Coturnix japonica: one gene and its partner. The protein of the gene in region 1 interacts with the protein of each later gene in a pairwise test. Links are inferred from orthologs where the notes say so. Each region holds a gene or a part of one and is shown in the gene's direction. Other genes may lie near its edges.

Evidence for each region.
Region 2: the proteins of DCX (region 1) and ZBTB5 interact in binary tests that used the Homo sapiens proteins (3 or more experiments, as listed by UniProt). The two-hybrid records come from large-scale screens. The link is inferred for Coturnix japonica from reciprocal best matches to the Homo sapiens genes DCX and ZBTB5.

What each region holds. Positions count from the first base shown.
Region 1 is NC_029519.1:12,539,459-12,554,780, forward strand, and holds part of DCX (neuronal migration protein doublecortin), read left to right. Parts: intron 1-4,475; coding exon 4,476-4,578; intron 4,579-7,616; coding exon 7,617-7,754; intron 7,755-15,322. UniProt on the Homo sapiens protein: Microtubule-associated protein required for initial steps of neuronal dispersion and cortex lamination during cerebral cortex development. May act by competing with the putative neuronal protein kinase DCLK1 in binding to a target protein.
Region 2 is NC_029547.1:66,742,704-66,758,482, forward strand, and holds the start of ZBTB5 (zinc finger and BTB domain-containing protein 5), read left to right. Parts: upstream 1-8,962; 5' UTR 8,963-9,028; coding exon 9,029-9,156; intron 9,157-13,122; coding exon 13,123-15,151; 3' UTR 15,152-15,779. Other genes in the region: POLR1E (DNA-directed RNA polymerase I subunit RPA49), read right to left, coding at 153-286, 1,035-1,131, 1,613-1,720, 2,045-2,189, 2,579-2,634, 3,373-3,458, 5,436-5,512, 7,335-7,438 and 1 more. UniProt on the Homo sapiens protein: May be involved in transcriptional regulation.

The sequences.
Region 1 (15,322 bases):
TTTCAGTTATTTCGTTTATTACCGAATTAGAATTTTGAAATACTCCTGCTGCCTCATGGAGGATGGTAGGGAGAGCTGGTTATTCACAGTTGCACGCCTATATCCTGCATATTGACTGCTCCCTTTCCAGGCGAACTAAGACTATCTACACCAAAACCGTTTCAGCCAACCATAAGCTCACAGCGAGCTCCATTTTGTGGAATGGTTTGTTCTACAGCTGCTGTGTTAAAATGAACTGGAAGGCTCAGCATCACTGCAAAGGTCGTATCTTTCCTTTCCACAATTAAAATGGCTGCAGCAGACACTAATGAAGAGTCACTGCGGAAATCGCCTCCTGGAAATCCTAATGACATTGTTCTCTCAGGGAAGGTTTTTCTAATATACACAGAGAAGGATTTCATTTAATGAGGAAACAAACCCAAGGAACTGCGAATGGTCTGGTGCTCCCTAAAACTTCTTGATCTCTACCGACTTCTGCTCCTTCCCTAAAGTGTACTGTAAAGTTTAAAAAAACATCAAAACCTGACACAAAGAAAAATGTTACCAGCAAATCTATTAGAAAGAATGACTTTGTGAGACATAAATTTGCACTTCATCTACTGGAGCATGAAGATTTAACTTCCTTTATTGGCATTGCTTAAGCTGCAGGAAATGGAGAGAAAACACTTCATGCAATGTGATCCTTTCTATGTCAATATTATCGTTTCAGTCTTGAATTTCAAATTAAATATTATCTTTCTTTAAACAAAGGCTTGTAAACCAATGTTATTTATTCTCTCTACTGTAATTATATACACAGGTTTAATTTTCCACTATAGATCAAATTAATAACAAAATTTGCAGATTCAAGAAGACAACATCTTACTAATTTTGCAATGCCAGTGCCATTGCAAATCGTGCAGGATAAGAACCATCCACACAGTGGCCATTGTCAGGTAGCAGCACAGGTGTATGCACTAGCAGACTGCTATCATTTTTTCTGCCCTGTGCTTCAATGAAATGATAGCTAACAGCAAAAGGAAGCATTTAAAACAATGATATTCAGGTTACCCATTGGGGTAATTTTTTTTCCAGGGTTTTCATGGTGTTCCAGACTAATTATTGGATATAATTAGAGCAGTTGATTAGGGTAAGCTAAAGCAGAACATGTACTTTTAAAATAGTCTACAGTGCCTGGGGAGAGGCTTGTAGAATTCCTTTTTTTTTTTCTTCCTGAGAAAATGTGAGAAAAAAGGCTTTCAAAGAGTAAAGATCAGACGATTCTTAAGGTTATTCTGGAGTCATGAAAACCCCCTGAGCCAGTTAATGCAAGGTAAAGGTTCAGTACTGCTGGGCAAGGACACCCCTGGTGTGTTCCATACTGGCTGATGAGGTTTCCAAGCAGCTGTCCCAGCAGAGCAGCTCACAGTCCCTCTTCCTGGCTCCATGCCCTGCAGGGATGTGTATATCTGGGGCTGCTCTCCTGGTGTTTTCCTTCTTCTGCCCACATTTAGGCAGGCTGGCTTGGGAGCAGTAAGACCTTGCAGTAAGACCAAGCACTTAAGTTGCATGTTTTCACAAAGCAAGTCTACTCTAGCAACTTTATATAGACAGCGATGCATACGGGGTGTGCTCCAGAGACATACAGTAATATCAAGGATTTAAGTTTAATAAACAACCGGTAAATAGCAAATACTATGTACAGTGAACAGAAGCAAAGTGCCTAACTTAGAACTACATGAAGTGACGTTGTTTTCTGAATTTTCAATGTTTTGCATTGTTTGATGAGAAAGAGGTTGGATTTTGTCTTTCTTTCCTTACAACAGGAAACAAAAGGGAATGAATAAAACAAATACAAAAGTTATTGTTTCCTCAGTATCAGGAACAAAACAAATGAGTTATGCAATTTAACTATCAGCCTCCAGTGCTTAGCCTGCCAGTTGTTCACAAGTATAAAACATACATATTAACCTACTAGCTGAAGAGGCAAGAATTCAAGAAGGTGAATTGCAAGTATCTCTGCTTGACATGTCATCATATTTGTCTTAGTGCATCTGTCACACTTAAGACACTTGATCTGAGGGCCTCCTTGGCTGCCTGAATTTTCTTTTTGCTTGCGGTAATGGGGAGTTCAAGGACAAAGAATACCCTTTGACTTGTGACCTGGAGAGGGTGAAAGCCCCTCTGGGTTCTTTCTGATTTCATCTAAAAGGCTGTGGATTTTTTGAACCCTTATGTTGTGATTTAGCTTTGCACAGCAGTTTCCATACAGAAGAGTGAGCTAAGCAAACCGCGAGTGTCTGTGGCATACGTATAGTACTTAGAATTCAGATGGGAGTGCGGGTATTGAGCCAAACCCAATTATTTGCAAATGAATCAGTGGCATGCACCCTCAGGGAGGACTGTAATACCAAGTGCTCGTTTGAAATGTCATCATTCTGTGGGGGAGTTCTCAATACGTGATGTGTTAACTATTTTCATCCTAATTTCAGGCAAATAGAGATTGCAGTTCGCTGAGTTTGTAAAGAAAATTCTGCCTTTGATCAATGCCACTGCAGATTTCATCTTGCTCCATTTTGAAAGTTGTGCACATATGAAAAGGAGGCTTTTCACTAATGTTTGGCATTGTAAACAGAGCTGGCACTCTTAGTCAGTGCTTTAATTATGCATTATATTAACCAGTGTGAAATACTGAGCCCTCTTAGGATAGCCAAAAGCCTTCTTTATATTTTATTTATTAGAGCTTGAAATTAACTTTTCACAGTCCAGCTCCAATAGATCCATAGATACGGAAATTCAGCTGTCTACAGTAAGTTTCTCCACTGCTGTCTCCAGGGCTCTCTCCAGTTGTTTGGGATGTATATGACCTCTGTGAAGGCCCCAGTGGCCAGACATGGCAAAACACTGGACCTCAACCATCTGAGACCTCTATTATAGATGTTGGTGCCAGTACTGCAGGCACTTGCAGTGGTCTTGTGAAAAGGCTGCATTTTTGTTTTGTTTTGTTTACTTATTTCTAGCAGGTGCAGGTCTGTGCTTCTGGGCTCACCCAGGTGCACAGCTGTGCTGTCAGTGGGCTGATGCTGGAGATGCCCCATGCTCATGTACTAGCACATTTTTCTCCTCCTGACACTGTACTTAATCAGTAGGTGGCTGGGAGACCAGGACCTTGGGCTAAACTCCATGCAGTCAGTTGTGTACACACAATTTGATGTCCCTTGAGCCTACAGAGGCTGTTTCTCTATTGAACACCTGCATCTTGAACACAGAAGTTTTGATGTTGGATTTTCCAAAGTGTTTTATCCCTCTTAGAAACAAGTGTTACTTTGCATCTCATGAAAGTTTTCAGAGCATTCTGTGAAGATGGAAAAGCATCATCTTTTTTTGCCTCGAAAGAGCACCTGTCAGCTTGCCAGGAGTCTGATTAATTTTCTGCAATATACTGGTTACAAATCTGGGTGTTTAAGGTTCTCCCTGAAGAGCAATGATGTGCACATTCTCCACATGTCCTTGCGCTGAGATGACTGGAATTAACTTTAGGTACTGGAGACAGCACAATAGCATGATCATGAGTTAATGTGTAATTACCACTGGTTCCAGTGGAATTACCCTCAGCACAGTTATCCTGCTGCTGTTGTGTAATTGCATTCATTATTTCACTGGTAACTGTGCAAATTGCCATGACTGTGACTGTGTAAATATCAGAATATGTTGTTATTCACAGTGTAGCACCTAGAGAAATGAATGTTGAATGGCCACCAGCAGTGCTGTCCTTGTTGATACAAACAGTGCCCAGCTGCGTTCCCACTTTTTCAGGCCCAATTGCTGCACAAGTGCTGGAGGGACATGGGAAAGGAGGGAGGGGGGGTGGGATGAAGGTTTCCTGTCCAGCTCTGCAGGTCCAAAAAGATTTGTAGAATCATGGAATGGCCTGGGTTGAAAAGGACCTCAAAGACCATCTAGTTTCACCCCCCCCCCCCCGCCATGGGCAGTGTTGCCAACCACTAGACCAGGATTACCTGCTAATGGTCTTGGAGACACCTTCTGTGGGAACATGCTGTGCCCAGCCACTCTTCTTAGCAGTCCTTGAGTTTCTAGACTCTGTTGGTACTGGAATGTTCATCAGCGTGGGCAATGGTGACAGCCGTGCTTACTAACCCAGCGTGGGGGCACCCTGCTTATTATTTCTGAATCAGTTCAGGAATGCCTGTGTCATTCATTAGGATGGATATAGGATATGTTAATAGGCTGTCGGCTCCTGAAGGATTGGAAATTCCATACTTCATTGGACTTTGCAGGGTGGATGCATTTTTTTCTCTTTTTCTTCTTCTTTCTTTTTAATTACACTGTTCTGCTTGACTTGTAGGAAGCAGGACCATGTAAGTGTGCGACTCAGGGGTAGCAGAGAGGCAATGCCTTCCTGCTTAAATTTACACTGAGCCATGTCAGAACGTTGCCAATTAAAACTAAAATGAATGACTTTGCTCTCTCTATAGGTGACCTGTCTCCACGATTTCTTTGGGGATGATGATGTGTTTATCGCCTGTGGCCCTGAGAAATTCCGCTATGCACAGGATGACTTTTCTCTGGATGAAAGCGGTAATGTTGAACACACTCTGTTCTTCAATCTGTTCTTATTTAAGAACTAAGCAGTAGAAGACTAATCTCTATTTTTCTACTGTATATTCTGCTGTATATCAGTAGGCAAAGCAACCTCTAAACTGCATTTTTATGACTCCTTAGCAAGGCTAAATTTATTTGATGCTGATACTTGTGACCTGTGTACTCCAGATGAACCCGTTTGGTGGTCTAGGGTGTTTCAAAGATTCCAGGGGTCAGCTGAAACTTTGCAGACAGAGAATAAAGCCTGCATCAGGCTGGTGAAGCAATCTGTAATGTGAGCTTCATATTTTATTTTAACAGTCTGCAGTTGAGTCAGCTCCACAGGGAGCTCCACATATAAAACAAATTGCATGTAATCCTAGCAGAACAACTTCATGGGAAGCTCAGCTCTCTGCCTACACTCCTGGTTTCTACTACATTTTTCAGCTTAGATTTCTCTAACAAAAATAAGTCAAGCTTGCTGTTGGGCAGGTACTGAGCATCTACAGCTCCCCATTGTATTTTCATGAGAGTAAGGGTACCCTGCACTTCCCAAGAAACAGATGAGGAGCTATTAGCCAGCAGCGTTTTCCCATTATCCACCCATCATTCTTCCTTGTTATGAATCAGATGCTGCAAAGAGAACCTGAGGTCTTTCGGATGAATGTCACTTATTAAAATCTCTTCTGTCATGGATACTTTCTCTTGCCTATTGGGATGACATGTACTTGAATTGCTGGCTATTATGTTCATTCTGGCAGGACATCAGGAAACAAAAAGAGAAATACCATGAGAGGATTATGTCATCTTTTTCTTTCTGACTGCCCACCACAGCTTCTGCCCTATAATCCCTGTTGCTAAGCACCTTCCAGATGTTGCTGCTCTGTCGCATTCATACTGGCTGGTTTCAGCATCAGCACACTGAAATGTCACACCCCACAATGCTAAGAGGTCTGCTTATACTGACGTCAGCACAATCAGATGTCCACATTTATTACCTCGTTGCAAAGCATACAAATGCTCAGTAATTGCCTTTGGTGTGCTGACACTTGCTGATGGCTGAGCTGGAGAAATTCATCAGAGTCAGCATTTCTATGCTGGTAAATGCAGAGCTGAGCTTCTCTGTGAGGAATTATCCTTTGGGGAGAAAAAAAATAATTGAATAAGCTCTTGAAAAAAAGCAACAAAATATTTTCACTTTTTTGATTTTATATTTTAAGGATCAATTCAGATGACTAAATACTGATGTAACTCACTGTTTTAAAGTCCCTTGGTTTCTGAGAAAGCCGTATCTGGTGCACTGACATTGCTGATCCAAACGTTACACTGTTTCTGATAAACAGCTACATGCAAAAGCCTTGATAAATATTACTTCTGTAGTGCCTGAAGATGATTGTCCCCCATGTTTTCATTAGGCTGATTAACACCAGGAGCAGTTATTTGCACACTCTTTCAGGTGGCTATCAGAGTGCCTCATCAAACATTTTTATTTAGAACCAAGGAGATAAAAAAATTGGGTATATTTCTTTTCTGAAGCTCTACAAGACCTTCTGTGGCATCATCTATGAGAAGCCAAGTACCTTAAGAAAACAAAACAAAACAATTTACATCCCTAATTTACAGTTTCCAGAATCTATGTAGTAGGAGAGAGAATAAACTTAATGTGGGTTTAATTATTACCATGCGACATCCCTGGAGCACAGGGAATCATCCCATCTGGAAGAAGAGACCGACTCTTGACTGTCTGAGAGTAAGGAAAGCCTGGGGAAAAGATTTAGGGCAATTACATTTTCATATATATTCTGATATATAAATAAAATAACACTAAAATACATTTAGGTCAGACAACTTGTTTTCAATTGACCAATTATGTATCCATCTACCGTATTCTGCTTCAGTTAATTCCCATTAAGAAAGCCAGTCAAGGGAATTCTCAGTGCAGCCCATGCATGCTGAGCTGAGCTTTTCTATAAAAACTTGCCTGTACAGGAAACATCTAATTCACGTCTTTAAAAAGGACCTGTTTTTCATGTGAGGACAATTGGTTATAGGAGATGAGACCAGTTAGAATTGGACAGAGAGGGAATTTCTTTTTTATTGCCAACTTCTTATCTGAGATGTTAACTTTGGGAAGGCAAAGTGCTTTTTCTATCCATTCTTAATGTAAATAAACCCTGGTTTTGAAGACCTGATATGCCTGAACTCCTGGAACACATACAGATTTGTTAGCATTTCAGTTCCCTTCTGCACAGCACTGTAGATCATGTTTACATTTTCCCCTCCTCCTGCCTGGTTTATTTTTTTTTAACAAAACACAGTTGGGGCTCTCATCTGCTCATGCATTAAGTACATGAATCTACTGCATTTGTTTATGTAAACCTTTCTGAAAGAGATGGCTGACTAGAACAGAGGGTGTATTTTATAAAACCATTTTGTTGTCTTTGCTTTCCACATCTGTAAAGGACAACTTGGTGAAAACACAGAAAGAGAGCATGAACAGGTTAAAAGCCTCTTAGGTCACGGGTCCCATTCACCTCTTATCTTTAAGTCATGCTATGAGCTGTTTGCTGGTTTTATGCACCTGCATAAACAGTACTCATTGTTCCTACTGCTATGTCTTCATGGGAGAGTTTTGCAGATTAATTGGTTTTTGACCTGTTCTTTGCTCACTAAATTCTGACCATTTTCATTTTGGTCTCTAGCTGGTGGGCATCAAGGCAAGGGGAAGGGTAGAAAACACTTGGCAGGACACAGGTACTAAGATGTTCCCTGCCAGGGAGAGAATCCTGATTTTAATGTACAGTCTCAGTGCCTCTTCCAGAGGAGCAAAGCTCTCCTTTTTTTCCCTGTCCCTAAAATGTCTTGTTTCTAGCCTGAAGACAATATGGAAATGCCAGTTTTCCCTAGTGTTGAAGTTTTCTACAGCTCTTTGGAAACAGAAAGCAACTGGGCCACCCATGCGTGTTTCACAGCTAGTGCCCATAGGCTGTGAGAGTAGGGAGGGACATAACCATGGTTACTGTCTCTTTCCTTAGAGTGCCGGGTGATGAAAGGGAGCCCTGCAGCTGCCACGGGCAGTAAGTCATCTCCCACCCCTCAGAAGAGCTCAGCAAAGAGTCCAGCCCCTATGCGCCGGAGCAAGTCTCCAGCTGATTCAGGTAACCATCAAGACGGTGAGTGATTGTTTTCTGAATCTTAACTCTGCTCAAGATGAAAACACATAGTGTGTGACTTTGAAAACACTGTCCTTGGATGTTTGCATTTGAGACTCTGGCATATTTTAAACACAAGACGATGTTGTTAGCCTACAGGATCGCTAAATAAATATTGGAAAGGAAATCTCTGGTTAGTTAAGTGCAGTAGTGGCTTTGGGAACATACCACCCACAGTCTCACAACCTCTTGCCCTAAAAAACAATTTAAGAGGAAAGGTTTCCATTTTACAGGCAGGAAATTGAGGTCTACAGTGCTCTTGTACGTTCCGCATAGCTACAGACTGATTTGGAATAGCCTCTTGTGTAATGCAAATGTTAATTACTGCAGGAGTCAGTAGTGTCCTCTCTTAATCACCATTTAAAGAAGACCAGTGACCTTGTATTTGAAGATCTGGTGATGAGCTTATTGATGCGATAGAGACATTCAATCAGTAATAGGAGAGAAAGAAAACGGTAATCCTCATTTGCTGCAGCAGCTTTCACCATGTGAAATGCTGCCCTCCCTCTTCAGTCTCAACTGGACTGACAGTGTAGCACACATGGTGAGCTGCAGAGCCTGTAGATTAGAGAGCTGGCTGGTAACTGGTAGATTTTAGACTTGTGCAATGAAGAGAGTGGGACTCTAGGTAGTGTCTTCTGTTCTGCTATTCTTTCCAAAAGAGCCAGACATGGATTTTCATTAAAAAGGCCAAATCAACAACTAAGCATTGCAAGATTCTAGGAGATTGAATTCAAAATTCAAGTAATGCGGCTGAAAATCTGTTGTAGATTTTTTTTTAGAATCTCCCATTCAGCAATCTGGGAGTCAAGCCATGCATAAGTTGAGACACCATTTAAACTCCATAAGCACCAGGTTCTAATTGCTACCAGAACAAGACACGTGAGTGTACAGCCTTACGTGAAATGACAACCACTGTGTTCCTGATTTTGACTCACGGAACAAAACAGTGATTCATCTGATGCAGTTTAATGAACAGTTTGAGCCTTTCCAAGGGAGACTGATTAAAATAACCAGAAATGTCAAACAGTAGCCAGCTCCTGGAATGAAGGCCTGTAGTGAAGGACAAATCAGGTTTCTTTAACTCATCTAGATGAGGTTCTTTCATACTTTTCTGTGATTTCAGTACAGAAATGTCAGCCTGTCTTTTTTAGTGAGAATAGAAAATGACTGAACTCCTCCTGTGCTGGAAGGTTGACCAAAGATAGTTGTTTTTTTGGGACAGAGTGACAAAAAGAATACTACCATCTTATGTTTTTTCTCTTGAATTTATAATAAAGAAAGTAGGTGTGCACATTATCCAAGAGTCAATATTTATGTAAAGAAACAACAGGCTTAGCTGAGTTTTAAAGTTATCACACTGAAAAAGACAGGGAATACTGAATGAAGCCTGATTAGTAAAAGATGATCTGATCCCCCCCCTTTTTTTTCCTTCAAAACTCTTACCTATTTCTTTTGTAAAAGGATTTGGAAGCAGTTTTATTTCAAGTGTGTTCAGTATATTTCCTGTGTGTTGGATCTCCCACACATCTGTACTTTTTGTCTTCGCTGTCTTTTACTCTGTGGTGATTGCCATATCAGAACTTGGAGTTTCTTAGTTTTTAATAATTAGACTGTTATTTTCAGCTCTTATCTCTTTAGTATTTTATTATCCCTTGAGAAATCTATCAGTGTTAGGGAAGCTGTTGATCACAGCCTGAACCTCTGAATAACCACCTGAGGCAAGCAATGAGTCAGCTGTGGGAGCACAGGTGAAGGTAATTCAGCTGAGCTACCGGAAGGGATGGAGCTTGACTCCACCTCTCCCAGATCTCATTTAAGGGCTGACCACCACTAAGGCAGGGTCTCTTTCTCTGGAGATTGCTCCTTATTGGAGTTTACTCTGAACCTTCGACACTGGTAAGTATTTTCCCTATATCTGTCACAATAATCTTTCATATGAAGCATCTGATTTAACCTCTGTTTACCTATTGACTGTGTAACTGTACATTGCATAACTGTATAATCGTTAATGATGTAAACACAGATTCTGAGGTGAGTCTCCAAGGCACTTGAGCGGAAGAAGTCTGAACATTCCTTATTACAAATTATGTTATAGTGACAGGAAAAAGTGTTTTTTTATTTAATTTATCATTCTACAAAGGCTGCTCTGAAAGTAATGCCTCCTGTTTTATAACATTGGCTTGCAACTTCAGAGGCAGATGGTGACGATATGACAGTAGAGTTTGAACCTTCCCACCAATATCCCATGATATTTTGCAGCCATGTGACAGATGGCAGCAGAGGGGCAGTCTGACAGCATGGTGTCTGATACTGAAGTGCAGATGAAGCAAAGGGGTGGAATTGAATTCCACTGTGTGGAAAAAAAACTGCATCCACTGATGTTCCTTGATGCTTGATGAATGTTTCTGGAGACCAAACAGTTGGTGTGAGCACAGCGAGCTGATGGGTGGTGAAACACTGAGATGTGTGGTTGCCTCTGCTAGTGCAGATTTTTACAAGTGCAGCATGCAGGCTCTTGTTAACGGCTGGTGAAAGTGAGTAATGTGTGGTGCTAACTGTGCTGGAAAAGAGTGTTTTGTAGCAGGGAATTTCTCTATCAAATACTGTTTTGTGCTCTTTGTAACTATTGTAGTTTTCATGGAAATAAATAGGAGGTATTACTTTAAAAAAAAAAAAAAAAAACAAAAACAAAAAACCCCTACATAATTATTCCATTTCTCTTCCAAAATGTAGGGGGAAATGGTACATAATTTATCATTGGTGAAAATGAGAATACAGTACATGTACATTTAGACAGCGGTCAGTTGCACTTGCCAGTGCATTTGCCTTGTTTGCATAGGCAGCTAAGGCTGAGATTGTGCATGCATAGATGTGCCACACTCTTTGGCAGCAGCTCCTATGCTGCAAATAGGTAGTGGACAAAAGTACCAAGTCACTTTTACAGCACAGAGAACAGAAAACACTCCTTTTCAACAGCTTGTTAGTGGTGCTAATCCTAACAGCACAAAAGCCTTGCAGACATTTACCTTGCCATTCACTGTAGGAGCATGTCTGATCTTCCTGTGTCAGTGCAAATAAAACCTCATTCAAAGCTATGAAGATGTTTTGTGGCCAAGTCACAGCAGCTATCCTTCACATAGGCCAAGGTGTTTTGGCACTTGTTTGACTCCAGTTTCTTCCACTGACTCACTCCACAGCTTTGAGTACATTCTTTAAGTTGTTCAAGCCTTCTTTACCAATGGGTTTTCCAAGGCAGTGCTGCCAATCCATATACAAAGCTGTGTAACCTACTCATGGCTTTGAGGATCTTCGTTTTGGGCTTTATATATATATATATTCTGAACACTTTTATATATGATATTGCTAAAAACAAAGCTGTCAGCTCTCAGTCTGCCTGAGACAAGATGCATCTATCAGCAAAGTGACAGCAGAGGTAACTCACATAGTAGCAAGGCTACTGTCTGCCATCCAGTTGACCTTGGACTGTTTCAGTAACCTGCACTCTAACACATATATTCCATTTGTTCTGTTCTGCTGCAACAAAGTGTCAGCTTATGTGGATGAATTAATACCACTGTGTGGCCTGATGTTGTGTTAGCTGTTGTCATAGGCTGCATGGATTCCTATGTAAGCTGACTTGTTTCCAGCCTGGGAGTATTTTGTGTTAGGGATCTGCCTTCTACTCTGTTCATCTTTGATAGACTTACCTCCTTTTGGTTCTGGCTATGGATTCAGTGTTCTAATTCTCAATGAGAAACAAAGGACCTGCTACAAATAAATTTCTGAGAGCCAGAGAGTACTGTTGGCCAGAGCTCAGTTTGCCCTGATGACACCCAAAACTTGGTTCCTGACTGTGGTGTCTGGGGACACTTCTGAGTCAGAATGATAGCAGTATGCAAAAAGAGATGTATGTAACAAGTCTGTAAATCCAGCACTAAAAAGGAAGCAGTTTATAAGACATAAAATTGCTCCTATTGCAAGCTAGGTATGAATTCTTACATATTCTTAGGTAGCATCATTACATCAGTCCTGGTAGCAAGCCACCCAAGTAGGTAAGTGATCCATAATAACAAAGATTAACATGGAGTAACAGGAAACAAGCAAAACATTTGTTTAAAATAATCAAGACAAAAAGCTATGAACAGAAGTGTGCAGCTACACTGAGTACCAGCTCCAGCTGCACTGATGCACGTTCACTGGTTGAGTTGCTACCTTCTGCTGGAGGCGATTTGCCTTCTGCCTAGACATGTCATTGCCTTGCTGTGAAAAGCTCAATTCTCTCTAGGCAGTCAGAGCCCTTCAGCCCCAGTGATACTTTAAAAAATGAGATAGCCAATCCACAGAAATGAGTTAAACACTCTTTTCTTGGCGTAGTACTTTTATCTCTTTATTTGCTATATGGTCATCTAAATAAATGAGTGAAGATGGAATGACTGTTATGAGGAGATACAGCTCTGTGTTCATGCAACTGTGTCCTGCAGCAGCTCACAGATTTCATGTGCTGGTGTAATTGAGAAAACCCTAAGGTATAGTGGATCTGGGGCAGGCCCCTAGAACTGTGTAGGAAGATGGACAAAGGTATTGTATATGATCCATGGAATTTAAATGAGGTACTGCCAGAATAGCATTTGGGAATATTAGTACTAAGGTTTCACTTCTCTAACAGGAGAGTTTAGACGGGGGACAAAAACATATTCACAATGCAACAGCAGTCAACAAAACAGATACAGGATGCCAGTCTGTCCTGAGAACAGATCTGGCTCCCCGGGGTCATTACCTATAAATATGTTAAAAAGGCAGCAGATGTCTTTTGGATCGCATGTAAGATAGAGCAGCTTGTAATCCCACTTGCGCTTACTTTCTGCTAGCTGACAATCTGCAGTATGCATCCAGTGGACAGATCACCCTCACCAAACATGATTAAAAATGGGTGCCAACAGTGCAGAGCAGAGTGTGCTGTTAGGAGGTGCCTGAGTAAAGGATGCCTATGCAGTCTAAACTCTTCTACTCCTAAACAAATGCTGCAATGGTGTCTTTAGAAAGTTTCCCGCACACTTCTGCCTTGCAGGGCAGGACGGCTTGTGCTTGCTAAATGCACTGTTATTTCTACATTGGAAGAAAATTAAACCAGGTTCTTAATTGTTACTCCTCCTGCTGTAAAATTCCATGTGAATATTTGTAGAGATATACATAGGTCACTCTGAAAGTAACGCCTATTTATTTCCATGGAAACTACAGCAGATACAAAGTGTACAATAGCACTATTTGATAGAGCAAATTCCTAACTATGAAACACTCCTTTTCACATAGTCACCAATATTAGCTCTGCATTTTTGCCAGCCATGAACAAGCACCTGCATGCTGCGAATTGTAAGAATCTGCACCAGCAGAGGTGCCCTACTGTCACTGCTGCTACTGCTGAAATGCACCACTCACTGTGCTCACATCCATTGCTTGGTCTCCATAAATGTTCAGCAAGTGTCTTCATAAATTCATTCAGCAGTGAATATCAGCGAGTGCCATTTTTTTTCTGCATGGAGGAATTCAGTGACACACATATGACAACAAAACGTAACAGGATATTGGTGGGAAGGTTCAGCCTGTGCTGCCATACCACCAACATACACCTCTGTTGTCATGAGCCAACATAATAAATTAGGAGGCATTACTTTCAGAGCAGCCTTCATACATCTGTCTTCTTGGATTTCTGATTTGGATGTCACATTTGCCTCTTTGTTGGTACTTATAAAATATTAATAATCCCTGCTGTAGCACTTGAAAGTCTCGTTGTATTAGAGAATTTCTGTCCTTCCCTGCAGCAATTACATCCTTTTGCTGCATGGTGACTGTTAGCTGTTATCCCAGCCATCCTGTTTTTGGATGGGGAAATCTGGGTTCTTTGTAGAATTGTGCCATTTTTCATCTTAGAAAGGATTATTTCCTGCCTTGGGTTCAGAGACAACTGGAGATAAAGTAAGGGATTTTAGAATGCAAAGATGGATTCCAGCTAATACAGATTGTATTAGTACTATTATAACCCACATTATATTCAGCAGAAAACCTACAGTCATTTGCCTTTTTTCTGATTTGCTTTCATTATATGACAAATAGTGAACTCGACTTTTTTCCCCCAACAAGCTCAAGGACAATTCAATGTAGGGAACTGGAGCAAAGTGAAAAGTGGCATGCAGACATTCAAGGCACAATGTGTAACAGTTTCTGGGGCTCTATTAGTTTTTCTTCCTGCCAATAAAGGATGGTCTGGGTAGAACAGGTAGGTGAAAGGTCAATCTATAAACCAATTATCTCTAAGTCATTATTTCAAACATCTTTTAAGGAATATCTATTTTCTTGGTGAGGTGCATTTGTAATGGGGGAAAAAACGGTTTCTTCCTGTTGGTGCCTAAAACACAGAGGATATGAAGACAGAGGTCTCACTTCACTAAGCATCAGTTAAGTCTGAGCTGCGTTAACACACCTGTAGCTCTTCCTTTGTCCCTTGGCTTACAGCACGTTTCTTTACACTTACTTAAAATCAGATGTATGACTTCTACATTTGCCTCCCTCCTTCTCACAGGAAGATAGCAGAGCATTAAAGCAAGACTTATGCTGCTGCCCCAGAGAATGATGAGATAGATACCAAGGACATAAGTGCCAGCCACAAATGAGTTGTAAAAAGGCAAATTATAGATTTTAGTTCCTCAGGAATATTTTTATAATGAGGGGGGAAAAGAAACAAAAACAAAAAAGCAACTTGATGTAATGAAGCCAAAAGTTTTTGCAGGAAGTCTATGGCTGTCATGACAAAGATATCTCAGTTCCAATGTGTAACTGCTCATCACTGGAGAAGGAAGAAGGAACGTAACATATGATATATAGGAAATACCAGTTTGGCTCTGGTAGTTTATTTGTTTTTTACATACTGAATGGTTTACCAAAGATGGAGCTTCTCCTATAGGAACAGCAAGCAGGCTGAGAACCTCCAGCTGAGACTGAACTCATAGGCCAAGCTCTTGAGTAGAGTATCCTGCAGACGAGAGGCCAAGGCCAGGTTCTGTCATTGGGTGCTGGAGGTGATTAATAGAGCTTATGCTTAACTGTGTCCATACAGCAGTTCTCCAAAGTAATGCACTTGAGGTTAAGCATATGTCTGCTTGGTTGGGATCAGACTCAGAAAAAAGCCCTGATATAAAGGCCAGACATGTTTTAGCCCTGCTGGCTGCTATGCACATCTGTAGATCTGGAGGTAGAGGATATGCTTTTGTATTTAATTATTAAATTCAATTTAGCCCAGAATCACTAAGGCCAGGACTGCACACTGAGACTTAGATCACCTTTCTCTACCCAGGCTGGCTTCCCAGCTGAGACTTCAGCAATGTACTAATTCTTGTGTCCACTTTCTGTGTCAGTGGATGTGATGAGATGCTGTAAGGTGGGTGCAGGTACATATTGCTGCCCTGCTTTCTGATGTTATACTTTTATCTGTTCTTCCTGACCTCGCTCTTTGAAATACACCACTTGCACAC
Region 2 (15,779 bases), on another chromosome or scaffold:
ACCTCATCATGAAACAAGCTGAACTGTAACTGCTGCATGTAGCTGTTTATCAAACAGGTAACTCTGGGAAGCTTCATTGTTTGCTATTATGGTAACTACAAGCCAAGTCCCAACAGGCAGCTGAAAAGGGTAAGAGTTGAAAATTGTCTTACACTTCTTCTTGATGATTTTTAGGAAGCTGAACTTAATAAGGATGTCCAGGAACCAGAGGCATCGAGCTTTGTGATCCCTGCTCATCTCATCAGCAGGCAGGAACTTCAGCTCTTCTAAGACGAAGGAGCAATGGCTAAAGAGGAAAGAGGGAGCATGAGGACCAGAGAATCAGGGACTAGCTTTCTGATTAGAACACACCCTTAAATTCAGTGCACAGGTCTCCTAGGTTAGAATAGTTCCCTGAACACTAATACAAGAAAGCTCACAATGCTGCTCTTCTTTTTGTCCACCACAGTCAGAACATTTCTGCATGTGGCACTACACAAGTCCCTGCACTGCAAAAACCACAAGTACTCCATGGAGTGTGCGCATGCACACACACTTCTGCTTAGATACAGATGGGAAGCAGTGAAAGTGAGCTGTGGCTTCTGCTTTACCTGCTTACTTCAGCACCAGGCCTTAGCACAAGTCCATGTCCATTTGCAAAGCTACAGTAACTTCCAGTTACGACAGTATGTGGCATGGACAATGCTCGGCCACAGGAATATCATCCTTAGCACAGCTCTGTGGTCCCATATCTAGGTATTTTCCTTCATCCTGCACTTTGGATTTACTCCCTCTCTTCCCCTGTAATATCAGTTCCCAAGAGGACAGCCACACTGTTGTGCACAGCACCTTTTCTCCCATAAAGTTAAACCTCCACACTTCCCAAAGGTATACACTGGGTCATGATCTGATGCCTTCCCTTTAGACTGAAGACTATCACTACCCATACTGTAGAGCTGGTAAAGCTGGCTACAGCTGCCATCCTGCCTGTAAGAAGAAACACGATTTCACAATGCCAGCCTTAGCTATTAAAAGGCTGCTTGTGGAAGTATTACCTTTTCTCTTCTGTTTTCTTGGCAATTTCCTCTGGAGTGATGTTAATAAAGGCTGCTGCCGGACCCTGCAATGCTTCATACTCTGCTGGAGATATAACTGCATGGACTTTAAGGAAAAGAACATGGGGACATTCTCTCCTTTCTGGTTCTGAATAGCTCATAGTGAGATACGGTCTGTCAGCTCTTGCTATGGGAGGTGTGAGGTAGGGAAGTGGGGGAAAAAGATTATAAATTTGCAGAAAGTAACAACAGAACTTGTTGTAACCAAAACTAAATGTCTCTGAAGTACAGTGGCTCAAACACAAACAATTTCTCACATACTCCTGACATTAATGCTATTCTTAGCTGAATGGCTCTGAACAGGCAGGCATAGTACCCCTGTATTCGTAGGGTGGAAGAATACAGAACTGTTAACCCTGAAGCCTCAACATACTAAGTTCCTGCTATCAGCTTTTGGCTGGTGAGGGGAGAAGGCTCAGCTCTGCTGTCAAATGCCTAGCAGCACATTCTCCACATGACAGACTATCAACAAGAAAGTTTACAGGCACCAGAAACCACACTGTCACTGAAAAAGATACTGTCGTCAAACTTGTAAACATGTTCTGGTTTGTCAGCATCTTCATGACATGGTGGTAGGAAAATGGACATGTTCTGTTCATCATCTTGGGCCACATCCTGGATCAAAGCTTTGGAGGGAAGAAGAAAAGAAGAGAGTATTTGGACCGTGCAGACAAAGCCACAGAGAGCGGACTTCTAGAACACCACCAAAACTGGGCAGAGATGGACAGTGATAACATAGATGTTTTTCCTAACGAAATAATAAAGCAGCTCATTTTCCAATAAAAAGTTTGGCAAAGTCCTCAACACGTTCCCATCTCAGCAGTTAAACCAACCACCTCCCTTCTTACTCAAGGAAAACACCCTTCTTCTTCCCACCATGTTTGGCAAGGAATGGACAGGAAAAAGTTAATTTTGATTGCCTTCCTCAGCATCTCAGACAACATCCTTACCTGTTACCCCCTTTGCATCTATAACATCTGCTGCCGCTTTTGTCACAGCTGTATTGAGAATATCACTGCCCACTGCATTCATTCGCCGAGAGTTCAGAGCTCGCTTCTGCTTCCTGGTGCCAAATGCCTCAATGCACAAATCCATCTGTGCATAACACAGAAGCAATGACAACACACTGCTGAATTCAAGACACTCTGCATGCAGAAAGAATACCCAGATAACCACTGCTTGTTCTGCATGTACATTTTTAAAGTAATTCCAAACATAACACTGGGTACAAACAAAGCATACAACAAAGAAATGCAAGAGGGCATGTTTTACCTGGGACTGTAGACAAGTCTAAAGTATTTAGGAAAATACTGCTAAGCTAGACACTAACAACATGCTATCTCAAAAACCTGCAATGCACAGAAAGAATGCTGACCCTGCACAAGTTTGTCCTGCAACAAATCAAACATCTCAGTTTCAGACAAGTATTTACCACTGTCTGCTGGATAACTATAGCACATTATGATATCAGGTTTCAACTTTACCTTTTCCCTGTAGGATTTATTCTGATAATCCCTTGTGTCATCAGGAATAAAGTTATCTACAAAAGAATAAAAATTAGTATGTTTGGCTTGCAGCTCGCAGGAAAGTGCATGTATTTGGTACCCCTTTAATAAATTACAGAAGGATTAGGTACACCAATTCAGGATCTTCTCTACAGGATTTTGTTAACAAAGGAATATGTTGAATATGAAAGACTATGCACCTGAAAGAAAGAGGGAAAGGCAGGACAATTTTTGCTACAAAATCTAAAAGCATAATGCACAGGCTGCTGCAATACTAAGCTCCTGTTGCCCACAAAAGAAAACAGTTCCCTAAAGATGATATTCTTCGGATTATTTCCACTAGATTCAGTAATTAAAAGCAGTTCTGCTGGGGAAAAGCTGCTTTCTTTTTCAGTGAATGATTCAGTCTACTGACTTGATTATTTCCAGGCTTCTCTCAGCAGGAGAAGGGCTGCAATTATTCTAAGCAGTAACAACTTTATTTCTAACTCTGGTATTTCCACCCCCCCACCCCCAAGCTCTCTGCTTAACCTTTCCCTCAATATTAGCTATGATTTTGCTTCATTCTCCCTTTCTTCATGCCACACTGCTCCCCAGGAGTGGACAGAGTGATGTATCCTTCTTCCCTCATCCTAAGGCAGCACAGCAGAAATAAGACTAGGAGGAAACAGAGTGCAATGCTGTCAGTAGCAAATTAGTCAATTTTGAATGCACACATATTTCCAGGACATTGTGACCTTGGCACAAAAGGGTTAAATAAAGAATTGTCCTACCTGACAGTAAAGGTTGCATGTTGAATATTTCAGCATTATAGACTTCCATTTGCCCAGAATCCTTGTTTAAAACACCAAGAAAATACCTGGGGAGAACAAGTGCAAGTGATAACCAATGAGACTCTCAGAGCTGAGAAAAATGAACTTAAAATCTCTAGAATAGGTTAATTTCTAGCAAGTCAAATCTTTTTCATTTCACACTTCAGACGAGCAAACCCAAATAGTTTGTGCTGCTCCTCACCACAGAATCATAGAACAGACTCATAGAATCCTTAGAGTTGGAGGGGACCTTTAAATGTCATCTAGTTTGTATTTGGAAAGAAAAATTTAATAATCTATATCACGACCCTTTCAAAAGAACTAACATAAGGACATTAAATGGCTGGAAGCACCTCATCTTAACAGTTTCTGCAATTCTGTTTACTCTTTGTTGTGTCACCCCACTTCTACTTTAAGTAGTCCCCATAGTCAGAGTAGAAATAAACCACGAGCAAATATTGCAGGATGAATGTAGCACATTCATGGGGCAAAGCGCTTGCTAACAGGAGCCTGACACCCACACCAAACGTACATCAGAGCTCTGTAGGTTAGATATGACAAAGTGAGATGATTTTACACTGGTTTTCCACCTATACAAAAGGTCATTCTGCTAGAGGATGGGAATGATCCCCCATGCAAAATAATTCTTAGGAATTCACGGGATTTGTCTCCAGGCTACAAAGTTCACCTTCTGAAACCAGGACATGTGAAAACTGGTGATTTCACCAAGGCTTCCCATTGCAGCATGAGGCACAGACAAGTTATTAATTCATACAGCACCACCAGACTGTGGCCCCGAAGTTAAACGGTGACTAATGACCCACTGGTTTCCTGAACAAGATACTGATCTTGACAGTTGTAAGAAGCCATGCTTTTTACATTACTGTCTCAAAGTCTGCTGAAATGGACAAGTTCAGGCAAGTCCTGGCCAAGGTTCCAGGACTGCCTTTGTCTGAGACACACAGGAGATGGACAAGTCCGGGAGCTACGAAAGGGAGATAAGATACTGATCAATGGCCCTTGAGTGGTCTTTTTGTGTTGGCCTATCTCAAGGAAGATGGCCATCCCTGAGGACTAATGGCCCTTAAGTGGTCTTTCCTGTTGGCCCATCTCAAGGAAGATTGACATCTCTGAGGAAGTCACAGGACTCTGACCCGAGCCTTCCCGAAATCTCTGGAAGGCTGGAAAGAAGGATAAAAAGGGCACGGACAAACCACGGTTTTGTGGGCATCTAGGTATCCGACCTCAGATTCCTCCACCGTTGTCCTACTGCTGCCTATTCTCTTTTCTGGGATTGCTGCTCGAGACTCTGCTCCGAGGGACCTCGCTGCCCGAGACTCTGCTTCTAGAGACCACGGTACTCTGACCATCTTTTCTGCGATTCACCGATCTGCTGTTTGCAGCCTGCTACTCCGTTGCTGCTCTCCCCTACGCTTATTTTGCCCCGGACCAACGTTAACAACGTGCTACGGGACGCTGCTGCATCCAGGAGGTGACTATTCCCCGCTTTAACGTAATTCTTGCTCTTTTCTACCTTTTTCTATCGCCTACTTTCCCTTCCCCATCACCCTAATTTTGGCATTCGTCACTCTCCCTTCCCCATCCCCTCAATTGTCTATTATTTCCAATAAACTGGTCGGATCAACATTTGAATGCTCTTCTTCTTAATCTCACGCCGGGCATAACATTATTAAAAGAACCTTTGCCTCACTCCTAAATTGGAGCGAGACAACAGTTAAGAAGGAATAATGCTGTTGTCCATAGGTTTCAGCTATGTGCAGACACCTTCTCACTTTTCTTCCCTCCAGCAGACCTAAACTCCACTTATGTGTAAGATCACAACATGCAAAATGGTGCAGCTGCCAGGAGATTATATCAACTGCCCCAATCCTCTCCATTCACACCATGGTCTCAATGAGAACTCATCAGTCCCCAATACAGAAGGCTACAGAAAATACTTTATTTGTGCAGTTCCTCTGCTTTCCCCTCCCTGTTTCTGCCACAGCGTTGCCAGCTACCCATACCTGCATAGGGAGTTGCTTTTCATAGATCCACTGCTGAAGTTATTCCCCACGTATGAAAGCCTTTCAGTTTCTGAAACCTGACAAACAAAGAAAAAAATTACTTGAAGAGTGCATTATTTGAAAGTGCATATTTTCCTGCATGTACTGTATCTCTAGTGACACAAAGCTCAAATTTGCCACGGTCACCATAGAATCACAGAATTATCAAGGTTGGAAAAGACCTACAAGATCATCTAGTCCAACCATTACCGATATTTCTCAGCTAAATCATATTCCTTTACTTTACTTTACATATTCCATTTACTTTATACTTTATAAAGTAAATAAATAAACCATCCTTTAAAGCAGTAGGAGCAGTCTGTGAAAGAGGCAGTGGAAAGGAGCATTCTGTACCAGTCACCTGCACATCCTACTCGCAGTGCTTAAGGTTGCTTGATGCAGTTACTCAAAGCCTTTCTCGGTTTACAGAACAAGTGTTAGATGTCAGAATGAGCCAAGTGGCACAGAGCTGTGGGAAGGCAACATTACAAACCAGAGGATCATCACCCCGGGGGTGCCCAAGGAACGACTGGATGTTGTGTTGAGGGACATGGTTTAGGGGGAGCTATTGGTAATAGGAGAACGGTTGGACTGGATGATCTTTAGGACTTTCACAGAATCACAGAATGACCCAGGTTGGAAGGGACCTCAAGCATCATGTAGTTCCAACCCCCCTGCCTAGCAGGGCCACCAAACATACACATTTACTAGATCAGGTTGCCCAGGAGACCCTATAGATCCCCATAGAGACCCCATAGAGACCCACAGATCCCCACAGAGACCCCACAGACCCCCATAGATCCCCACAGAGACCACATAGACCCCATACATCCCCATAGAGACCCCACAGACCCCGTACATCCCCATAGAGACCCCATAGACCCCGTACATCCCCATAGAGACCCCACAGACCCCATACATCCCCACAGAGACCCCATAGATCCCCACAGAGACTCCACAGATCCCCACAGAGACCCCATAGACCCCACAGAGACCTATAAAGACCCCATAGACCCCAAAGATCCCACATAGAGACCCCATAGATCCCCATAGAGACCCCAAAGACCCCCACAGATCCCCATAGAGACTCCACAGATCCCACAGATACCCATAAACCCCCATAGAGATCCCCATAGAGACCCCATAGACCCTCACAGATCCCCATAAAGACCCCATAGATCCCAATAGAGACCCATAGAGACCCCTTAGATCCCCATAGAGACCCCATAGACCCCCATAGAGACCCCAAAGAGACCCCATACACCCCAAAGAGACCCCATACACCCCAAAGAGACCCCCACAGAGACCCCATAGAGACCCATAGACCCCCATAGAGACCCCATACATCCAAATAGAGACCCCATAGACCCCATACATCCCCATAGAGACCCCATAGACCCCCATAGAGACGCCATAGACCCCACAGAGACCCATAGAGACCCCATAGACCCCACAGATCCCCACAGAGACCACATAGACACCATAGATCCCCATAGAGACCCCCATAGAGACCCAGAGACCCCATAGATCCCCATAGAGACCCCACAGATCCCCACAGAGACCCCATAGAGACCCCACAGATCCCCACAGAGACCCCATAGAGACCCCCATAGAGACCCCATAGAGACCCCAGAGATCCCCATAGACCCCCATAGACACCATAGATCCCCATAGAGACCCCCATAGAGACCCACAGAGACCCCACAGATCCCCATAGTGACCCCATAGAGACCCCACAGTCCCCATAGATCCCCATAGAGACCCCACAGACCCCACAGATTCCCCACAGAGACCCCACAGATTCTCCATAGAGACCCCATAGACCCCATAGATCCCACCCCCGGTGATGCCGGGCCTTACCAGGATCCTCCGCCTTCTCTTCCTGGGGTTGGACACCTCGCTGCTCCGGTACAGCGAGAACCGCACGGCGTCGGGTCGCTGCAGCTGCCCATTGGAGAACGTCACTACGGGCGATAAAACAGGCCGTGAGTCCCTCAGCACCTCACCGCACCGCACCGCCCATCCCGCATCTCTGCTCACCCAGCACTGCCGGCTGCTCCTGCTCGGGATCCCCGCGGTATCTCCACGTGGCGGTGGCCATACCCGGTACACACAGGAACAGGCCAGGCGCCACGCCGTAATGGCGGCACTTCCGGTGGGGGCGCTCCGAGATGACGTCACATCCTCTCGTCAATATGGCGTCATTTCCGGCCGACGCGGCGACAGGGTGGGAGCGGGGGTGGAGCGCGGGGCCGGAGCGTCGTAGCGCGGCGGGTTCGGTGCCGCTGGGCCCGGTGTGAGCGGGGAACAACAGGGGAACAGCACGGGAACAACAGGCGGTGTGCCGGCCCCGCTGCCCGCACTGCTTCACTGGTGCTGAAGGAGGAGCCTGGAGCGGGTCTGTAACGGCGGCGGTGCCCACTGCGGTCACTGGAGGGAGGGACAGAGCGATGGGATGCGTTACACGAGGGGTGGGGTGTGAGGGGGTCCTGGTGTGATGCTAGGAGGGTTATAGGGTTATAGGGTTATAGGGTTAGGGTTGGGGTTAGGGTTAGGGTTGGGGTTAGGCCCTCCTGTCTCACGTTCATGTCGTTGCTCATCATAGCCGTGATGTGGAGGACGGTACTTGGGTTGGGGAGGTGCTAACACGCTGCTAGCACCTTGTAGCCAATGGCATACTGGGGTGTATTAAAAAGAGTGTGTCCAGCAGGTTAAAGGAGGTGATCCTCCCACTCGACTCTGCCCTATTAAGGCCTCATCTGGAATATTGTATCCAGTTCTGGGCTCCCCAGTACAAAAAAGACAGGGATCTCTTGGAAAGACTCCAGTGGAGGGACACAAAGATGGTGAAGGGCCTGGAGCGTCTCCCCTATGAGGAGAGACTTAGGGAACTGGGTCTGTTGAGCCTTGAGAAAAGAAGGCTGAGAGGGGACTTGATCCAGGTTTATAAATACCTGAGGTGTGGGGGCCATAGTGGTGAGGCTGGTCTCTTTTCAGTAGTGTGTGGGGATAGGACTAGGGGTAATGGGATGAAAGTACAGCATAGGAAGTTCCTTAATAAGAACTTCTTTACAGTGAGGGTGACGGAGCACTGGAACAGGCTGCACAGGGAGGTGGTGGAGTCTCCTTCTCTGGAGATATTTAAGACCCGCCTGGACGCCGAGCTGTGTGACATGGTGTAGGGAGCCTGCTTTGGCAGGGGGGTTGGACTCAATGATCTCTAGAGGTCCCTTCCAACCCCTACAATTCTGTGATTCTGTGACAGCGCCTCTGTCCCTACCTGCTGTTTCTTGCTAACTTGGAACTTAGAACTAGAGGGAATGGTTTTAAGCTGCGTCAGGGGAGATTCAGGCTGGACATTTGGAAGTATTACTTTTCAGAAAGAGTATTCAGGCATTGGAATGCACTGCCCAGGGAGGTGGGGGAGTCACCGAGCATGGGAGTGTTCAAGAAATGTTTGGATGTGGTGCTGAGGAATATGATTTAGCCTGGAAGTATTGGGAATTGTTGGACTAGATGATCTTTTCCAACCTTGCTAATTCTGTGATTCTCTAATGGTGTGGGGCATCTGTTACACCCGTCTTGCAGCTGATGGTTTGTCTCATGCTGACAGACCCATGTGGTGGATAAGCTGGGAGCCAGTCTGCTGCTGTGCCGTAAGCCTGTCTGTTACAGGAGAAAGGTCAGTCAGCACTGATGTCTGTGTCAAGTCCAGAACGCAGTTGTGTCTTGGAGCTGACCAGATGTGCTTAATTTCTTCCTCTACCCTTTCAGAATTGCTCAGGAGTTTGATTCAGCATCCACACTTGAAAATCATGGCAATTGTTATTTACTAAAATATTTTTGTTTCACATCGTTGTGTGTGCTACATAGGTTGCTCTGAAAGTAATGCCTCCTGTTTATGTCTGTGGAAACTACAACAGTTAGATCACTTGGTAGAGCAAATGCTCCGTTACCAAGCACTGTTCTTCAGCATGGTAACCACCATTAGCAATGCATTTTCATGTGTGCTAAACTTTTATGGAGCACAAAGAGTGGATGTGGGCACAGTGAGGCGGTGGATGCTGCGTTTCAGCAGTGGTGACAGATGTCACCTCTGCTGGTGCAGATTTACATGAGGGTGGTATGCAGGCCCTCGCTCAGCAGCCATGTCATAAAATACACAGAGCCCTGTAAGTCATTTGTATAGACTTACTTCCTTCTGTGTGTGGAATGACAGGGTTGGAGTTTTTTCAGTGAGTTTTGGATCACCATAAGCAGATCATTCAGCCATTCTTATATAAAGCAACACAGTGGTGGGTTGAATCAGCAATGTGGATATAGGTACTTTGCTAGGTTGAAGACAGGATACTAATGCAATCTTTGTAGAGCTGGCCTTGTTACTCTGTTACAGTCACTTCTGTGGCAAGAACAGTTTTCTTCAGCAAGTTTCTGCCTAGAGTTTGTTTAAAGCCTCTCACAAAGCCACTGTCAGAATCACTGGGGAATCAGAATCACCAGGTTGGAAAGGATCTACAAGATCATCCAGTCCAACCGTCACCCCAATATTGTAGCTACAGCAAACACTAAACCAGATCTCGCAGCTAAGTTGGACAGTTCTTCCAGATAATCAAGAATGTCTAAGAAATATCTAGCATTTTTAACAAAGTTTTCAGTTGCTCCGTTTAGAATTGCTCTTTGCAGCTGACAAGGCTAGGCTGTTAGTGCTTATTGATAGGCTAGTATTGCTATAGGTTGCAATATGGGTTGTTAATACTTTTCAAGTGATGAGAGCATATTACATTACAAAGTAATCTCTTCCCTGGAAGGTGGGTGCAATCAGCAGCAGCTTTTGCAGTACAGTTTTCTGATTCTTAGGCAAGTAATAACTCATCCTCCCTGATCACTGGGAAACAAATGCTGTGAGATGAACACCTGGCAAAGCAGAAACTTCAGATGAGCTGCTCTGAGTTAAATTGACAGTCATCAAGGTTGCTAATTGCTGGTGTTTTCCTGTGTCATTTTCAGGCACACACAAAGAATGCCTTTCACAGCTGGCATTTGGCATATTAGTGCATATGTGAATGCAATGTAACACTGATGACTACTTCAGTTGTATGGAAGAAACCCAGAATTCATTTAAGCTGCTGCTAACTAAAGATCCTCTATTTTTTTTCCTGCAGTTTGAAAATGCTGTTAGGTCAGAGAGTGAGTTGTGCTTCAAGTGATCAAACCTGCTGGAAGTGTTGAAGAAAGCTGGGGGTCCCATTTCCTTCTGTCTGTAATTCTGTAAAGCGCTCCCCCTGCAGTGAAAGGCTGAGCGAGCTGGGCATGTTCAGCCTGGAGAAGGGAAGGCACAGGGGAGACTTTGCATTTACCTTCCAGTACCTAGAGGACCCTACAGGAAAGCTGAGTTTGACTCTTCTGCAGAGATTGTAATGTTAGGACAAGGACTGATGGCTTCAAGCTGAAAGAGTGGAGACCTAGGTTATGTCTTAGGAGAACATTCTTTATTCATGAGGCGGTGAGGCCCTGGCTCAGGCTGCCCAGAGAAGCTGTGGGTGCCCCAAGCCAGGTTGGAAACACCTCTGCAGCCTTGAGTGTACTTTGTTAGTCCAGGCAGGGCTGCAGGGACACAGGCAGTGCAGTGGGGATGGGCACTGAGAACATTGGGACATGGTACAGCCCAAGAAAGCCTCAAAGTGTCTACATCTTGCAAACACCCTTAGCCAGAGGCTGCGTATGACCCTGCAGAACACCAGCACACTGAAGCTCTCCTGCCTTGGCTGCTTTTGTGGTGGTTGTGGTTCAACACTGACACATTTTGTAAGGCTGTTGTAGCTGAAAAGTAGTGCTAATTCCGGCCTATAGGAGAAGGAGCTTCTGTGTCTTGTGCTGGTGGGTTCCTGGTGTTCTGCAGGGTCTCTTGTCTACAGCTCTGTACACCGATCAGGTCATCCTTGAATATTAAATGGTTCCCTGGAGCTCTACTCCTTGCAGGAGGAAGAGTGAGTTGAAAGGAAGTTGACCAACATCCAGGTCCCTCAAGCATAAACAGCTACAGCAGTGATGGTCGTCTAAAAGGAGAGGAAGAAATAATAGTTCTTTGGTGTTGGGGCAATTGCAGGGCCTCCCTGCCTGCTTCTCCTCTTCTTCCTAAACTCTCCCTAGGCCTTGCTTTAACTCCTGAAGCCATGGGCAGCGTGTTATCTCTGGTGTAGCACCTGGCCCATCTCAGAAGCAAGCAAAGAAGACAAATAAGTAGATGTTCAGCAGACCATTTTTGACTTTCCAGAGAAGCCCTCCTCCAGACTACAGAGGAGGAAGTCATAGCATGGTGGTGGGTGGAACAAAGTAGGTCATTAGTTTAGCCTGACGTGCGAAGGCAGGCAGCTGTTTAGCAGCACTGGTTACTAGAGCAGCAGTGTCCTCTATGGAATTTCAGATTCTGCCTACTGAGGCTTGTAGCTGTTTTTGCAGTTCCTCTATGATCCTTTTGTCCAGTTGCCCGAAGTCGCTGCGTTTCAGGGTCTGCTGCCTGGTTCTTCTGTCATTCAGAAGGAATGCAGAAAGGATTTCCTCACTTTCCCATGCATTACAGTGCTCTTAGAGAAAATGTGCAGAAATAAAAGCCATCTAAAATATCTCTGTCCTGATACCGTTTTTGTTTGAAGATGCCCTGCTTTACTTTCAAATATACATTTGTAGTGAGAGATAAATAAAAATCACTTTTTATCTGTATTCCTGCATCTTAAAAGAACAGTTTTGTTTCAAACTCTTCAATTTTATTACATATCTTAATCTGCAGGGATAAGGGAGATTGACAAAGTACTTATTGAATCTCATCACGCTGCTTACTTCAGGCATTCAGACATCGCAGCCTTTGTGTTGCTGAATTAAGGGATTTTTGATGCCTCAGTAAGACTGGACCCTCAGCATTGTTAGAAGGCATAAAATGCAATTTCCTACAGCTTTTAATTTACCTAGGAACCAATTAAAGTCTGAGGCAAATGCTTCTCAACCATCTCTGACTCCTGCTGGCAGGAATTCCTGCTTTTCTGTGTTTTCATAAAGCTCCATTATTTTTAGTCAGGGAGAAGGGTTCCTAGTGTAGTACAATACACACCAAAATCTTCCTCCAGCTCATACCTGTGAAGTGTTGTGTGCCTTAGAGGAGTGGTAGGCCGGTGAGTACAGCTGCATCTTGTGCTTGGGAACATCATCTTGCTGCTCCTCTCCAGTCTGGCAGCTGAGAGAAGTAGGGAATGCTTTGTCAGATTTTGCATGACCTAATGACTAGATTTTTATTTTTTTAATTGTATTTTTTAATTAAACTGGGGTTAAATATCTTACTGGAGAATATCTTTAGAGTTTGGACAGAAGTTAACAGGAGAATGAATGGCATTGTGCAGTTTGCAGTGGAGCTGCCCACGATAAGTCTGGCACTGGGGTAGCTGTTATGCTGTTAGCTACACCACAGTCTGTTTTTCTCTCCCATGTGTTCCTTTGGGAGACTGCTAGTTCTGATACAGCAACAATGTGGCAGTTGATGAACCGGTTATTGTTCATCCGTCTTTTAGCCATCCTCTTTCATTTTTAAACCCAATCCCACTGTGATTTAAATAGAACCTCAGCCATTTTTAATATTTTCTTCTCTTCTGTTTTATAGGATCATGGATTTTCCGGGACACTTTGAGCAAATCTTTCAGCAGCTCAACTACCAGAGGCTTCACGGCCAACTTTGTGACTGCGTCATTGTGGTGGGAAACAGGCATTTCAAAGCCCATCGCTCTGTTTTAGCAGCATGCAGTACCCATTTCCGAGCTCTCTTCACTGTAGCAGAAGGAGATCAAAGCATGAATATGATTCAGCTGGATAGTGAAGTGGTGACAGCAGAAGCCTTTGCTGCTCTCATAGACATGATGTACACTTCTACACTTATGCTTGGAGAGAGCAACGTTATGGATATCTTGCTGGCTGCATCTCACTTGCATTTGAACTCTGTAGTTAAAGCATGCAAACACTACCTTACTACCAGGACACTGCCGATGTCTCCACCGAGCGATAGGGTTCAAGAGCAAAACGCACGCATTCAAAGGTCTTTCATGCTTCAGCAGCTTGGGCTGAGCATTGTGAGCTCTGCGTTGAATTCCACTCAGAGCTCAGAGGAGCAGCCAAGCACTATGAGTTCCACGATGAGAAGCAACATAGAGCAGCGCTCTGCTTTTCCTATTCGCCGCCTCCACAAGCGTAAGCAGTCTTCTGAAGATCGGGCCAGGCAGCGAATGAGGCCTGCCATAGATGAGGCTGTTTCTGATGTGGCTCCAGAGAGCGGGCAGTCAGTTGTTCATTCACGGGAGGATTTCTTTTCACCAGATTCACTGAAGATAGTGGACAACTCTAAGGCTGATGCTGTCACTGATAACCAGGAGGATAATAACATTATGTTTGATCAGTCTTTCAGTGCTCAGGAAGACACTCAAGTACCCAGCCAGTCTGACAACAGTGGAGGAAACATTTCACAGATGTCCATGGCATCGCAAGCAACACAAGTGGAAACCAGCTTTGACCAGGAGGCTACATCTGAGAAAAACAACTTCCCGTGTGACAATCCAGAGGTCAGCATAAATGAAAAAGAGCACATGAGGGTGGTTGTTAAATCCGAGCCCTTGAGTTCCCCGGAGCCTCAGGACGAGGTGAGTGATGTCACCTCCCAAGCAGAAGGCAGCGAGTCTGTTGAAGTGGAAGGAGGAGTTGTGAGTGCAGAGAAGATAGAGCTGAGTCCTGAGAGCAGTGATCGCAGCTTTTCTGATCCGCAGTCTACTACAGATAGGGTGGGAGATATCCATATTATGGAGGTGTCAAATAACCTGGAACACAAGTCTACTTTCAGTATCTCAAATTTTCTGAATAAAGGCAGAGGTGGCAGCTACGGTGCTAGTCAAACTACTGATGACAACATTCCAAATACAACAAGTGACTGCAGAATGGACAGTGATGCTTCTTTCCTGATGAGTCCAGAGTCAGGACCTGCTGGTGGTCATTCATCTGCCACAGTCTCTCATGTTGAGAATCCCTTCAGTGAGCCTGCAGAGTCCCATTTTGTTAGACCAATGCAGGATGTGATGGGTCTCCCCTGTGTACAGACTTCTGGGTACCGGGCTGCAGAACAGTTTGGTATGGACTTTCCAGGGTCAGGCTTAGGCCTGCATTCTCTCTCAAGGGCAATGATAGGCTCCATAAGAGGGGGAGTCAGTAGCTCTCCTGGCTACCGCCGCATAGCCCCCAAAATGCCTGTTGTAACCTCTGTCAGGAGCTCCCAGCTGCAGGATAACTCACCCAGTTCCCAGCTGATCATCAATGGGACCACTTCTTTTGAAAATGGGCATCCTTCACAACCTGGTCCTCCACAGCTGACGCGGGCATCTGCAGATGTTCTTTCAAAGTGTAAGAAAGCCTTATCTGAGCACAATGTCTTGGTTGTAGAAGGTGCACGCAAATATGCATGTAAGATCTGCTGCAAGACTTTTCTGACCTTAACGGACTGTAAGAAACACATCCGTGTGCACACGGGAGAGAAGCCTTATGCCTGCCTGAAGTGTGGCAAACGGTTCAGCCAGTCCAGCCACCTTTATAAACATTCCAAAACGACCTGCCTGAGGTGGCAGAGTAGCAACCTACCTAGCACTTTGCTTTAACTGCTCGCACCTCCCAGCCTGAATGAGAGTGCCAGTACAAACTCTTAACTCTCCGAAGCACTGCAGGAGCATTAACACTATTTTGCTCAAGCTGAGAAGCTGCTTTCGTAGGTCTGTGAACAGTTGTGTGTGGTTGTGCCACACGCTAAAGTCTTGATTCTATAAATTGGGGATAATACCATACCTACCTCACAGGGGTGTTGTGAGGATTAGACAACTGTTAGCAAATAACTTTGAGGTCCTCAGAAGTCTGTAGATACGTAAAACGTTATTGTTATGTACATGCAGACTTGGGGCTCAATGGGGATAAGGTCCCTACATAAAATTTCCTTTGCAAAACAGAGGGGTGGGGATTGAGTGAGAGTGTAGTTGTCTCACAGAATCATAGAATGGCTTGGGTTGGAAGGGACCTTAAAGTTCATCGTGTTCCAACCTCCCTGCCATGGGCAGGGTTGCCACCCACTAGATCAGGTTGCCTAGAACCCCATCCAACCTCCATGAATGGGGCATCCAGAGCTTCTGTGGGCAGCCTGTTCCAGTGCCTCACTACCTTTGATAGTGAAAATTTTCTTCATAATATCTAGTCTAAATCTACTCTCTTCTAGTGTAAAGCCATTACTCCGTGTCC